Oreochromis niloticus: one gene and its partner. The protein of the gene in region 2 purifies or fractionates together with the protein of the main gene of each other region. This does not show direct contact. Links are inferred from orthologs where the notes say so. Each region holds a gene or a part of one and is shown on either strand. Other genes may lie near its edges.

Region 1 (7,492 bases), on a different chromosome or scaffold from region 2:
TACACAGTATAAACTAGCAGGAGTCTACTGATGGAGAATCGGCCACACACAGTCGGAATGAATGCTCAGCTGATCAGGTGAAAGGATGGGAGTTTCGTGTGGCTAAAAAAGATTAGACGTAGGTTTGCAGCGCTGATGCAACTTTAATCTAAAGGTGTTCTTCTATCCTTGCTGACGGTTTCATCATCGCCGTTTCATCAGGACTTCAGAGAGCAGAGGGAGACACGAGTAACACGGCAACTAAATTACATCAGCACGTAACGAGGGAGCCTAAACACAACGCTGTAAGGCAACTGTGCCTCTAACTGTAGGGTCGTTTCCACAGATTAACAGTAAGCCTAAAACAATATTTCCTAATAACAATGCATTTCAGACCTCAAACACTGTGATAAAAAGAAGTTTTTAAGATCGGGACTCAAACCCTCTAAGCTGTGTGAATCATTCAACATTTTCCTTTCACAAGTTGCGTAATGAAATAAAAACTTCCTTCAACTGAAGCAACAGGAAAAAAAGTTCAACCAAACTAAATTAAGCCTGACAAAGCCGGGCGAAGAGTGAGTTTGGTTGTTTTGGAAGGACCAAAATAGACAAACCCACACCAAAATTGTGTAATGATTAGTGCGCTTCTTGGATTTCACATCATGCAATTTTTACCAAAACACTTTCACCTCACAGCAAGAAAGTTCTGGGTTTGAATCCACTGGCTGGGCGGAGCCTTCCTGTGTTGAGTCTGTACGTTCTTCCTGTGTTTGGGTAGGTCCGACTTCCTCCCAGAGTCCAAAAAACATTGCATGTGGCCATGGAGGAGTCGTAGATGAAGTGCTTGAAGTCTATACAATATGTATGTATGCAAGTATGTACGCTTAGCTGCGGTTTGTAGTCTAAATGAGCTCTTAAAGGCCTTTTTAAAACTACAAGCCACATTTACCCTCCTCCCCACACATGCAGTGTTTCATTCTATGCCTTTAGGTTTATCAGGGTTTCCTGTTCAGTCACCTGCAGACTGGAGAAGTCAGTGGTAGCTGGTTTGCTCTAGTTCTTGCCTGCTTAGATTTTGCATCCCTATCAGAATTTTTGTTTCAAATAAAAGACAAAATAAAAAGTTAAACCACGGGTTGCTCCTATCATGTTATTTCCTGGGGGTGAGATGATATGATAGATCTTGGGCAGTTAAAGAACACGTCGATTTTTATTTCCATGTTTGCTGCTGAGCTCACCTGTGAAACAGAGAGAACATCCACAATCGCAAACATGTCACTGTGTAAGCCCACACAGGTCTCTGTTGCCAAAACACACTCATCCAGCCTTCGTCACTTAAAACTACAAACAGGTGCCCACTACGCTTTGACATCAGCTACAGTTCTGCTGGAAAAGATTAGGATGACCTTCGGGTCGGCCCTAATCCCACATTAACCTCAGCCAAGAGTCACAACTCATGAATGAAGCCACCACATCACTGAGCGTTTGTAAATATTCAACACAGAGTGGCCTGAAGGTTGAGCCTTGTGCAAGGCCAGAGCCAACAGTGATGGGACAAACTAGAATTACGGCTGTTACCCAACACCTACTTTCAGTCTTTGATAAAACTTGTCAGCTATGCTGTTTTCTAATCTCAGGATTCTGGCTCACCGAGGCCACAGCTACAAGGCGTTTTCACTGCTCATTATGTGCATTCAGCATATTGTGAACCTGATCTGAAAGCTGCCAATGATCAGCAGGGAGGTGGAACACAGAAGTTAATGTGTCACCGATCAAACCAGGCGCCAATTGCAGCTGTGACCTCTGACTAGGGCTGGGTGGTCTGACCAAAAACTTGCATCACAGACTTTTTAAAGACTCGTGTGGTTTCACAGTACGCACTTATCTTGGTCTGTTAAATCAGACATGGAACACTGAGAACTGATAATAATCCAGCTATGAAACTGCTCATCAGCTGAGAGTGTGCGCTTCAATCCCAGATTGATTTATTTGAAATCCACTGTGGTGGTGTACAACCCCCCCGAAAACATCTTACTGTCTAACAAATTACAGACTATCACAGAATGAGGTTTACAATGACTCATTAGTCATTGATATTTAGATAGATATGGATTTTTCCAATTTTTCCTCTAGTAAGCTCTGATGCATACCCATTCACATTCACTGTCTTCTGGATTCCTGAAATATGACAGAAACTGCTCAGTTCAGAAAAGACAGACAATGGTTAACCCTAGTAGGCGTCCAAGGGGAAAGGGATAACTGCCTGTTATACATTACCTCACATGATTCCCAGTCCCGCATCCCTTTTTAGCATTAAAAACCCCGCACAATCTCTGACCCTAGAATAAAAAGTCCATAGATGCATCCCTGATGAAAACCACAGTTTGAAAAACTACTGTGGAAAGGAAAATTGATTACAAAAGGACACAAAGACTGTGCATAAGATCAAAACAGCAAACTTCAGCTTCTTTTTTAAACCTCATTTGCTTCAGTCAATGCCAAACCTGTAGCCTATATAGCCTGTTGTGCATTTCTTCTATTATTTCCAAATTTCAGATATTCTCTCAACTCCGAGTGTCCCACACAAATACCTTCTTTGTCCCACATTTAGTTTATTAGGATCTGCTGATTCCAGAAACTTTATTAACTTTAAAAACATGTGATCACTCTTTAAGGCATTAAAAAGGCGGCTTAGATCACGGGTTAAAGTTCAGCTACATGCTGAAGACAAACACCCTTCACAGAGTTATCTAATAGTCTCTTATCCCGTTCACAACCGACTGATTACCGGAGCGTCGAGGGGCGTGATTCCGCCGTTAGAAACAACCCAAAAGGAGGCCTAACAGGCGGCCAAACAAACCACACTAAGTCCGTGTTTGCGAAATAAATGAAACCAGCACGTACCAGAACAGGTGTCCGCACAGACTGATGACGGCGTCCCTGGCAGTGTCCAAGCAAATGTTGCACTCGAAGGTGGCTCGATCCCGCTCCCGTTCGCTCTCCCCGCTGCCGCCACCCGAACCGTCGCGGTCGTTGCTGCTCTCCCCGGCCGGGAACCCTCCTCTGCTGGCCGGCCCGCCGTCACTCGAGAACCGGTGATCCGCGGCCGCCATAGTGTTTATTTTCCAAACGAATAAAGAAACGAAGCGAGCCAACCCGCGGCGGCCAGACCCGAAATAACGTTAGCTGTCAGCGGTAACAGTTGCTGCTGTCACCGACCGAGCCGAGGCTGCTGTCTCTGACCGAGAGACGACTTCCGTTTCCGGGAAAAACAGGACGCATGGGCGGTCTTAATTTAAACACCACCGCCACCGCCACCACCACCACAATAATAATAATAATAATGATAATAATGATAATAATAATAATAATAATAATAATAATAATAATAATAATAGTAAGAAGAAGATGAATTACTGATACGTACACCTTCGTCTCTAGCCAATCCTCATTTCGTTTGTGGTAGGAAAATAGAAGCGATTTATTGAAACATGACAAAAACAAACAAACAAACAAAAACATCGCCTAATAGCTCTTTGGGAAACACAACATTCGGGCATGTTTCATAGACTCAGCTAAGGAAATTGTAATAAACTTTGTTGAGCTGTGAATATCAACGCGCCTAAATGTATCTTTTTCTGTTATATGTAGACAAAACACTGGTTCATCCTTTTTATCCTTGAATGATTCATAGCTCAGTGTTAAGTGGCTTAACTCACAGAAAACGTTCCTCTGAAAATAGTCAGGTAAGGACTGAAATAAAAAAAAAAACCCCAAAAACAGCTGCTTACACCACTTTAAAAATCACAAGAAAGTCTGGCTCCATAGAAGTAAAATATAAAGATATGAATAGTGACTCGAGACTGTTGCACAGCATAACAGGTTAAATTTAAACTCTAACGCCACAACAACAAAAACATTATTTATTCGCTTTTACTGTTTAATGAATTTCATGAAAATAGGAAGAATATTTGCTGCTCATAGAAAAAATAATTAATAGCGACAGGCTGGAGGTCTTTGATAATTTAACCCAAATGTTTTACACTCACAACATACACGAAAGAAAGAAAGAAAGAAAGAAAGAAAGAAAGAAAGAAAGAAAGAAAGAACGAACGAGGGAACTTTAGTCCTACATGTTGTTTCCACTCGGACAGTTGAGGAGTACGGACGGTAAGCGTGTTGTGTACAGGGTCCATGCTGTGTGTGATAATTCTAACGTTGTAACGTTAACAGTATTTTCACGGTTAACCCGCGTCACTGACGGCTGTTTGTGTTTTAATACGCGCTCTTTCGTCACTGACCCGCCGCCATGAAGATTAAGCGGCAGAAACAAGCCAAGAAGACGATCAGTTTCTACAAATACAACTTCGGCTTCAGGGAACCCTTCCAAATCCTCATCGATGGCACTTTCTGTCAAGCGGCCTTAAAGAACAAGATTCAGATCAAAGAGCAGATGCCCAAATACCTGATGGGAGAGGTGCAGTTGTGCACCACCAGGTGAGTGCATTCACCTCTGAGCACCCCCCTCCTCCCCACCCACTACCCCCGATCACTTTTTGGCACAATACGTCATCATACACGTTTTAATAATGTGTCCACGTGTTCACGTTCAGCTGTGCGCTGAAGGAGCTCGAGACGCTTGGAAAACAGCTGTACGGGGCCAAGATCATCCTGCAGAGGTTTCAGGTCAGGAAGTGTCCGCATTTCAAGGAGCCGGTCTCAGCATCAGAGTGTCTGCTGTCCATGTTGGAAGAGACCAACCCGCACCACTACTTCGTTGCCACACAGGTAAATAATGAGATGAAAGTGGGAAAATATTTTTGGGTGCTCTGATAAACCCCTGATTCCCCAAAAGCTCTAACGATGTGGAAAATGTAAATGAAAACCATAATGCAGCGATTTGAATTTTCTACCCACAGTAGAACATAGAAAATGTAGAAAATGCTTAAATTGATTCCTTTTACTCTTTTGTGAAAATATACTGGCTTATTTCGAATTTGATGGCAGCAATAAGTCTAAAAAATTGTTACAGGGACATGTTGTGTGTGTGTATCATGCCCTGTTCTTTTGACAACAGCCTGTAAACATCTGTGAACCGAGGAGATCAGCTGCTGAAAACTTGTTTCCATTCTTGTCTGATTTCGGATTATAACTGCTCAGTGGAGCAGATGACAGATAAGTTACAGATATCTCTTTTGTCTCATTATGTCTCCAGGACTACACAGTCACCACGGGGCTGAAGAAAATTCCAGGAGTTCCTCTGCTCTACATCATCCTCAACACAATTGTGCTGGACAAGCCCAGCCAGGCGTCCCTCGACCACGTCCAGGCCGTCCAGCTGGGAGAGCTGGTCAGCCCGGCCCAGCAACAGAGCATCCGGACCCTGAAGGAGGAGCAGGGAATTGGCCAGAAGGACAGAGAACGGCGTGGGAAGAAGAGGAAGAGGAAACAGTCCAACCCTAACCCGCTGAGCTGCCTGAAGAAAAAGAAGAAAGGAGTCCCGACACCTCCGCTGAAGAAGACGGAGCAGGAGGGGAAGAGGAAGAGAAGCCGACACAAGAAACGAAAAGTGGAGGCAGGAGATGGCACAGCTGCTAATACATAAAACAGCAGGAAGACAGAGACTTCAGCCTTCTCCATTCACCTGATTTATAGGTTTACGTTTTGATATGACTGCAGAGGAAAAAAACTGTTTTTTACATAAATGATATTTTAAAAATGCCATTTTGTAGTGGTATTTGTTTTATTTTGAAAAACCTTACAGGCAAGGGAATGAAACTGTTCACAGACAACATCTGTATGATTTCTTTTATACAAAATCAAAAAAGCAGGTTTCATTACAGGCACATAGTTTAAAATATAAGATGCACTCAGACATTAAACAGTATACCCTTTTTCTTTTTTTTTTTAGATGGAAGAGGATATCAAAAACAATGCATTCAGCTGTCTCTGCAGTGTGGACACATTAACTTGTTTCCACTGTTGGTATTTCGTGCAGATTAAATTTAAGCTGCAGTATTTTCTCGTACCACGATGACTTACAGCAACAAAAGTCCATCCAGTTTCCATCTGATCCTGTCATCCAGCCATTCTAGAGATTAATAATGAAATCTGCTTTTAAATAAAAAAACAATTCATTCTCTTTAGCTGCTATACAGCAATACAACAATAAATTAATACTATCAAAAGTGACAAAGAGCACAACAACTTAATTGTCTTAATAAACAAGACAGTGCATCACTGTATCCATATACAATAAGGACACTGAGTAAAGTGAATCTGACCTCAAGTTATTTTAAGGATTTGGAAAAAAAAGTAACATGGCAATAAAAAGAAATTTCACACAAATTGCACTCGATTCAAATATTTCAGGATAGCATGCAAGTATAGCAGACCACTCATGTTTTCATCTATATGCTGAGGTCCCGAAGCTAGGTTTTATTAAACTGTGTCCCAAATCCACAGCACATAGTAACAAGATCCAAGACAACGTGATGAAAAGTTCCAATATTTTATATTTATACTAACAGGCAATGATGGAGAAAACTTAATTCCTTATAAGTTTAGAGAGGAAGCAGCAGGAGTTGTTAAAGGTGTTCCCAGACCTGTTTTATCGGAATTTTAAATCTGAATCACAGGAAAGTGTGCATAATCACGGTGCGCTGAAAAAACAGGTGATTTTTACCCCTCAGCCTGAAGGTTGATGGGGTATTGTTATCCCCTAGTCAGGCAGGCGGGCCTCAGACAGCATGAACATGAGAAAAAGATCATATAGGATTTATGTTTAAATAGACCTTTGACAATAAGCAATAAAGTCTAATCTCTGTTTTGTCATTTTTACTGTCTTTCCCAATGCCGGTAAGAACACACTGTGTTAAGAGAGCAGCCATAAATTAACGGTGGATAAATTATGCTCACTTTTAATGTTTCCGTCATGACCCGGCAGCTAGGTGTTCTAGACCTTGTTCTTCCATAGGATTTGTGTCAGGAGGCTGGTAGCCATCACTATTTTTAAGTTTACACAATCCTCAAATCCTGCTTAGAAATTAGTATGTTGTGTGGATTTGGGTCGTGTCTATTTTTTTAATTTTTTTTTTACTGACAGCAACAGCAACAACAACTTAGAGTCTGTAATACTTAAAGTGCTACTCTACAGCTGTATAATGATTAGCTGCTGGTTGAGTCTGTAGAGAACTACTATAATAACTGTTTAAATGTACTCTTGGAAACAGTGCATGCTCCTTCTGTCTAATATGATGGTGAGAGACTTCAGAAGGAAACCTTCACCTGCAGTAGTGAGAAAAATAGAAGTAACATGTTTGACTGACTGTAAACAAATCATTACACTGGACTCCTTCACTTTGGTGAGACGCCAGCAGCCACAAACAATGAGATGCAGGTGATCCTTTATACTGATTGGGATATAAAGTGAGTAAATAATAAATATGTTCATTGTTTGAGTTCCAACTACGTTAGTCAGACCCACTTCCACTGAACCACCACTGCTTCACAT
Region 2 (7,514 bases):
CTGATTCATTTTTCTGCACACTGTCGTCCCACCACCACCACAAGGTCAATGTCGCATACCATCAAACAACACATCAGCCTGGCTCTGTCCAAAGAGAGTCAAATCCACTTACCAGCACGCTAATAGTTAATTTGATGCTCTTTAATCTGTGCAACTTTACTTTTTCCTAATGCAATTTCTTGGCCAGGACCAGAAAGAAATTGTCTGGATAAGCTTTGTGAAATGCCGCAGAAATTAGTAAGCTTTAGAGGAGCAGGTGGCAGCGTCTCTGCAGTGTTTATTTTTTTTCTCCAAAATGTAAACCTTTCCTTTTTAAAGTGGGTGTCTTGTGTTATGAAACACTCCTAAGATTTCAAAGGACGGTTGTAAACAAATGCTTTATATAGATGCTACAGCAGTCTACATGCAGAGAGAGAGAGACAGACGAGGAAGATTCTCACCTGCATGTTTATCAGCAGCCCGGTTATCTGCAGGTTGAGTCAAGGACGACAACAATACAATCACAGCTGGAGCTCTACAATTAGAACAGCTGGGGACCGGGAGGTTGCCTGTTCAAATCCCCTACACCGGTTTTTGGAAGCTGGCAGGCACCTCTGCCGTTTCCAGTTGAGCAAGGCATCTGACCTTGGAAGGTTACGCCTCCCACACTTTTTTTAAGCTGTTCTCACCATTTAGCTGAACCGACAAAGACTGAACATGTTGTTTGGATGAGGTAGAGTTTTGCTGCTTTTCCCATATAAAAGAGAAATGTCTGAGCAGCAAGCAGCCAATCTAAGCTGAACTCTCACAAGAAGACAGAGAGCTGAGATGTGGGCCTGAGTGTACTGCTGGTGCTGCATGTGACCTAGATTAGGTTTCTCTGCTCTGCAGGGGTAGACTGACACCGGGCCGCTGGCACAGAGCCACCCTGACATGGCACACTGCTGCAGCGAACGAGAGAGAGAGGCAGAGAGAAGATGAAAGAGAAATGCAGGAGAGATCAAAAGCAGGAGGGGTCAGAATGAATGGTAGAGTGGGAAATAGGCTAACAGCGAGGTAACTGGATGACGAAAGAATAATTTCCTGTTAGGTAGATTAAAATGTGAGATTTTAAAACAGGAATTGCCAATCTGAAAGGATACAACTATGCAGATCCAGTTGAAGAGAAGCATGAAGATATAGTCTGCAGGCCTGCCATCAAATGACCCTGGTATAAGAAAAAAAAATGAGGATGAAGATGATGATGACACAAATGAATACAAGATGCTAGAAAGAGCGCTGTATGTTTAGAAACCGCTAAGGCCGGTGATCTTACCTGTCTCTAGTCGAGTGGAGTAATGGTAGAGGAAATATAGGTTGACCAGGTAGAGGAAGCCGGTATTAGGGGTTATAGGGAAATAAAGAGTGGCTGTTACCGGTCTCCAGATCTGAAATAAGCAGAAGAGTTATTAACCCAACAGAAAAGCAGTAAGACATCAACGTCGCTGTGCCTGTTTGCACATCCAGATGTTCACCACCAAGTCTGTAACACATTAAGTCTCATGTGGGTTGCAAATTATTACTTCCTGTGTGGTATTCCTCTGCAGAGTGTGTGTTTCCTCACAGAAAGATTTGAAAATTGGTAAAAGAAGTCAAATCAATACCACATTTAAATGTTAAATTCCCATTAATCTGGAGGCAAAAGACAAGATGCAGTCACAATTTAAAGAAGTGTCTGATCATACCATTATCCAATTTTTGTGCTGTCCAACAAAAAAAAATAATCTTATTTTGTTGTTTGGGACTTGACAAAAGGTTAATAACTTTTCAATCAACAGAGTCTCATATTCAGTGCTTTCACACAGCTTGCGTGACCATCTTAACTATCACTTAACAATTTATAGGCTCATAAAGATCAGGGGGTTATATATAGTATACTGACTCTGCACTACTGCATTTTTATTTCAGTTTATTTTGCTTTCTTTTATTAGCCACACAATTGGCTGCCTACATAATGAAATTAACTGTGGTTTTAATCAACATGTCCTAAGATTAATAATCCACAGCAAGAAAGTCCAATAATTCCAGAAGGTGTATGGATTGTTCAGTTAAAAGAAGCTTATTCATTCACTTAAGAAAACACAGTAATACCAATGCAAACAAAGTACATAGCAAAGTACTGTATTAATGCTGTAATTATGTATATTTAATATTCTTCAGATTATCCCTTAACTATAGCTGTGAGATATATTTCCATTTACTGAAGGTGGAATGATGACATTTCCTTCTAAGTTAAGTACTAGAACTGATATGAAGTGAATTACTTGGTAGCTACTTTTCAGCACTTAAAGTGATCAGACTGGTTGATTCCCTTTGCCCTGAGCTGTGTTTGATTACTGATTTACACCTATGCCCTAACCTTGCATGAACCCACTGTTAACCTGATTTAGAGGCCTTCACAGTGCCTGAGGGCCTAATTTCATAACATCCCCTGCAATACTTGTCTCCACCTTGTGGACGAGAGCGCACTAAAACTAACGTATATTATCGCAACAAATGCTTTAAAATAAAACGTGTCTCTACTTCTCTGGTAATTAAATTATAGAAAATATGTATTTGTTTTCACTCGTCTTATATTTAGTTTACATTTCAGCGTTACTACATATCCAAGCATTTTGACAGCATCCGGAAGTCCCACCCTCCTGCGTCTCGTCCTCTCATTGGCTGCCCCACACTCAGGCCTGCTGAGTTAGCAGTGCTAGCCACCTGCTAACTAACTCCTAGTTTCCAAAAGACAGTAACTCAGCATTTGTTCGCTATCTAATCCAACAGACAGACAAGTTACCAAAAACCAAGAAACACTCACATGAAATCTGCTGAAGACCATCTCCGGAAATAGCAAGAGATTCCTGAAATCAACCAATCCCAGTTTGCCTATAAGGGGAACAGCAATGGAGGCAGCGAACCAGTACCGGGTGATGAAAGGGATGCTTCTGAACCAGTCCCCGATATCTGACATCTTTCCATAGGATTACTGCCAACTTTGAGACCTGAAATAAAATTTCCTCTTTAACAATTCCCTAAAGTCCTTCCCAAACCAGCGACTGCTTCCTGTCTTTATATCACAACTGCTCCACTGTTAAGTTTACATGACGTGGCTAATCACAGTGAGCTAGCTTCAAAATACGACGAAGCCACTGACATCAGAGAGGAAACATCCGGTTTAGCTTCTCAAAGTAAAACCTAATTGACAACTGTTACCACAGACTGGATGAAACAAAAATCTTTTTTACTTACTTTGTGACTGTTACTGAACTAGAAACAAATAAAATTATAAAAATATAATTGAAATTATTATTATCAATCAACAAACTACGTTTATCCGAGGCAAATAATGGCCCACCCTGGTTACAACATGTTCAGCCTGCTTTCCTCAGGGAAGCGCTACAGGTGCATCAGCACAAAAACCCACAGAGTCAAAAACAGTTTCTTCCCTAATGCCATAACCACCCTGAACTCACACATGCACAGATAACACACACATAAAATGAAGAATTTTAGAGGAACCTTTCCTGCTCGCACTGTGTAAAAGTGTTACAAAGGTCCTTAGGCAGTATGATCAGTTCGTGCGGTCATTTATAATATTAAGGATGTGCATAGTTGACGATAAAGTGTAAATAGATGCCAACCCGTGTGCTTGCACATATATTGGCCAAATTTGTTTCTAATAAGCTCTTAATTTAAAAATTTAAACCGGATGTGTTTTCAGTATCTAACAATATCTTGATTGCCTTGCATTTTATTGCACTTCCTGTGAAATTTGCAAACACGCTCACTTGACCATCCAGAGGCAGCCAGCAACACAAAGAGGCGTGCCGAACGACGCAGGTCTCGCGGCCCCCTGTGGAGATCTAAACACAGACCACAAGAAGAGGACTGGGGAAGAAATAAGGCTTTTTAAAAAGTGGTGGCGATCAGTTAATCGTAATTATTTATCCCAGGGTTCAGTTGCTGGAGTTTACCTTTTATCTTTCACTCTGCCTTTAAAGAAGAGGGTGAAGGATTTCGATTTTTTACTTACATACTTAAGTATTAGAATGGCTTTTGGATGTCTGACATATGAGATAACAAAACTTTGATAATAATAAAAACAACAAAAACACTATCATAATAAAATGAATAACTGGCAAACTGGGAGCTTTACTGTGTGGATGTGGATGAATGTATGAATAAATAAATAAAATAAACAAATATACACTAATACATAAATAAACGTCATGTATTTAATTTTAAATGTTATTTTAAAATAAAAATTTACTCAATATTCACTTTTTTTCTGGGTATTGTTAAAAAGGAAAAAAAAATTTACAGGGGTAACAAAGCCTCGCCGTTTACGCTCCTTGGCCACGCCTTCTGACGTATTTCGTCAATTTTGGGCGACAAAAAACTGTTCTCAAAACCAACCAATAAAATAAACAACAACAATAACAGGTGAAGAAAACCTGTTCGTAGGGGGTCAGCTAAACCTTTAGGGCACTACTTAAATCTGAATTACATTGCTAAGCTTTTATCGAGAGCATAAACGGCTTCTCTGCTCATTACCGCACTTAGTCAATGTTACTCTTTTAAATTTGCCGCTGTTTACCCCGCCTGTTAACAGATTAGCCGGCTAATCTGTTAGCGGAGAAGCCATGCAATATCATAGTGACATTAAGTTTACTCAAGCGGTGTTTTGTAAATTTACCTCCTGAACTGTGTGGACTTTTTGAAAATGGAGGTGACGGACATTGGGAACAAAGAGGAGGGTAAAATCTGGTATCGAAAGCCAACACCGGGGAAAAGGTAGGTTTAATTTTCCCAAAAGTCTTATTTAGTTTCTCAGACTGTCAGCAGCTGATGCTGCACGGACTCATTTACATGCGGGTTATCTTTATTACACATACCGCTCTAAGTTGCCAGTTTTTATTGCCGTGGTTGCTGTATTTTGGCACTATTACTGTGAGTATTTCTACTGTTTCTGTTGGTATTTACATAACGAATACTGATTCGTTACTACTGTTGTGATGAGTTATTTTATTTACTAATTGCAATCAAAGATTTAGTTGTGTTTTACGACTTTATTAAGGCCGCAGTAATCCTGGAAAACTATGAAACTTTAACTGTAGTTCTAGCAAATTGCAGCTTTACAAATGATTTATGTTTGAATGTGAATCAAATTAAAGGAAATTTTGAATAAATAAATGAAAATCTTCTCTACAGGTCTCTGACTGGCTTAACGAATATAAAAATATTGCGACTAGTGCTCTGTGACCTCTTCCAAATTTCACCCCAATGAAACATCCATGGAGGAGACATGGATGAAATTGTCTATGGCATTTATTTGTTTGCTTGTTTAGTTCAGTTTCTTTTGAACATGGAAGCAGTATAAAGAAAGTCATGCAGAATACACTGCTTCACTTTGGCTGACGTAGTTTACATATCCAAAAGAGTAGGAAGAAGTGCGCACTTATTTAACCCCACCCTTTGTCCATAAATCCGTTATTGTTTATCCTGCCTCTTTATTGATATAAACCTCAATAACAACAATATACATATTTATAATTTCACTTTCACTTGCATTTACATACACTGTGTAAAATACAAAATCCATTTAACCACCCATTCTTTTTCAGCTTATCTGATTCTGGGTTGTTGGGGTGGGGGCTGGAGCCTATCCCAGTTGCAATAGAGTGTCCAGGTACACCCTGGACAGCATCATGCAGGCCAATCATCCTTACACTCACACCAATGCAAATTTAGAATCACCAGTTAACCTAATCCCACTAACTGCAGGTCTTTGGGATGTGAGAGGAAGCCAGGGACAGAAATATTACCATATGTAGTTTCTACAGCTCCATAATTTTACATCCTCTCAAGAAAGACAAATACCTCCAACTTTGGTGTGTTGATTGCAAAATCTGAATAAACCTGGAATACCAACTAATTAACCAGAGACATTAATTGACATTCAAACATCTTTCTCTTTCTTATACCTCACGAAAACCATATCTTTATACCTTTTTCTGAACTGCTTTATGTTGCACATTGCTTCAGTTCGAAATATTTTCTTGTAGTACGCACAGTGACTGTTTTAAAGTTGCAAAAACCCTTAACTCTTTAGCCCTTGAAACCCTACTAGGAGTAAAACCTTGGAGGTCTTTTGTCGCTTTCTGTCATATTTGGTTATAGAACAGAACGAGTGAGTGTGCGTCAGAAGTTAAAGAGGGTGGTCTCTGCCTCTGCAGCTACCCTTGAAAAAAAAATGGAAACATCACATGGTCGTCACACCACATCTTTGATGTATACTAACGTGTCATAACTCATTATTAAGGGTCCATGGGAGGTCATCAGATGTCATCTTGGGGTCGTTAAATTATGTAGTTAAATTACGAATTCCTTCTCTTACAGAAAACATGCTTTGAATGTCTCGTGCTCTTTGATTATATTTTGCTCTGAACGAAATTTATGCAAAATTTGTATAATACTTAGTATCAAGCAAATTTTGTTCTTGTCATTTAGGTCATATCCTTGTTGCTAATCATTCATTTTTAGGACATTGGTTATTGTTTTTAGTAAATATTAAAAAATGCGAGAATGATCTATTACTCACTCGTTTTCAAGCATTCTGTCACACCACCATCAAGGAGCCCAGTGATGAAATTTGATTTTGATTTCAGTTCTTTTATAAAGAATCTGTGCCAGTGAGAAATTGTGCTATTCCTAAGGTAATGTTAATGTAGCTCCCCATTAAGACACTTTCAATAATTTTTCATCCATCAATATTCCACACCTGTGTAAGTAAGACCTCAGGTGGTTGCTGCACATGTGGAGAGAGAGAGGTCTTTTCCTAGGTGACCACTAGGGAGCAGCCATGATTCACTCAGACACTCTTCATCTTTCGTCTCTGATGAGGTGTGTTGTTTGCCTTTTTCAGTGTGTTAGTAGTGACTGTGGTCCGCACTGCTCAGCAGGCCAAGACGGTGCGTTTCCTCCACGTGGCCTTCGACACCACCGGTGATTCCTTCCTGGCTGGGGATCACCATGGCAACATTTATGTTTTTGACATCAGTAGAAACAGGTGTGTGGCTATGAGTGACACTTGGTTATTTAGTATAAATGTACAGAATTCTGTATTGTTTAGGATTTAGGACTTTACTTTTCAACCAGGATTGTTTGATTCATAAATGTTCTTCCTGTGAATTAGAATATTAAATATATTCAGAATGGAGTCTTAAAACCTTCGATGCTTTTGAAATTTATTTGATTTTCTTTTTTCTTTTCTTCTCCTTCTTCTTGGGATAGATTTCGGCTGGTGCAGAAAACAGGACAGGCCTGCACTTCTTTGGCATTCAGCCTCCGCAGGACTACAGAGTTCCTCGTGGCTTTGGCTGACTACACTATTAAATGCTTCGACAAAGGTACGTCCTCACACATAAAGTGCTGCTTAGTTTTTCATTTGTAGTTCATTGTACGGAATTATTGTAGGGTCTACCTTACAATAAAAAAACGCCTTGAGG

Evidence for each region. Proteins that work in one complex are often made in the same cells at the same time.
Region 1: the proteins of derl1 (region 2) and rnf5 purify together in Homo sapiens (affinity purification with western blotting; 4 studies listed by BioGRID and IntAct, with this or other methods). This does not show direct contact. The link is inferred for Oreochromis niloticus from reciprocal best matches to the Homo sapiens genes DERL1 and RNF5.

Annotation. Positions count from the first base shown.
Region 1 is NC_031985.2:15,433,588-15,441,079, reverse strand, and holds the start of rnf5 (E3 ubiquitin-protein ligase RNF5), read right to left. Parts: upstream 3,268-7,492; 5' UTR 3,093-3,267; coding exon 2,884-3,092; intron 1-2,883. Other genes in the region: rRNA-processing protein UTP23 homolog, read left to right, coding at 4,289-4,476, 4,593-4,767, 5,195-5,584. UniProt on the Homo sapiens protein: Membrane-bound E3 ubiquitin-protein ligase that mediates ubiquitination of target proteins. May function together with E2 ubiquitin-conjugating enzymes UBE2D1/UBCH5A and UBE2D2/UBC4.
Region 2 is NC_031976.2:12,325,766-12,333,279, reverse strand, and holds the start of derl1 (derlin-1), read right to left. Parts: upstream 3,166-7,514; 5' UTR 2,978-3,165; coding exon 2,825-2,977; intron 1,407-2,824; coding exon 1,295-1,406; intron 1,187-1,294; coding exon 1,122-1,186; intron 468-1,121; coding exon 441-467; intron 1-440. Other genes in the region: tbc1d31 (TBC1 domain family member 31), read left to right, coding at 4,730-4,800, 6,932-7,075, 7,300-7,415. UniProt on the Homo sapiens protein: Functional component of endoplasmic reticulum-associated degradation (ERAD) for misfolded lumenal proteins. Forms homotetramers which encircle a large channel traversing the endoplasmic reticulum (ER) membrane.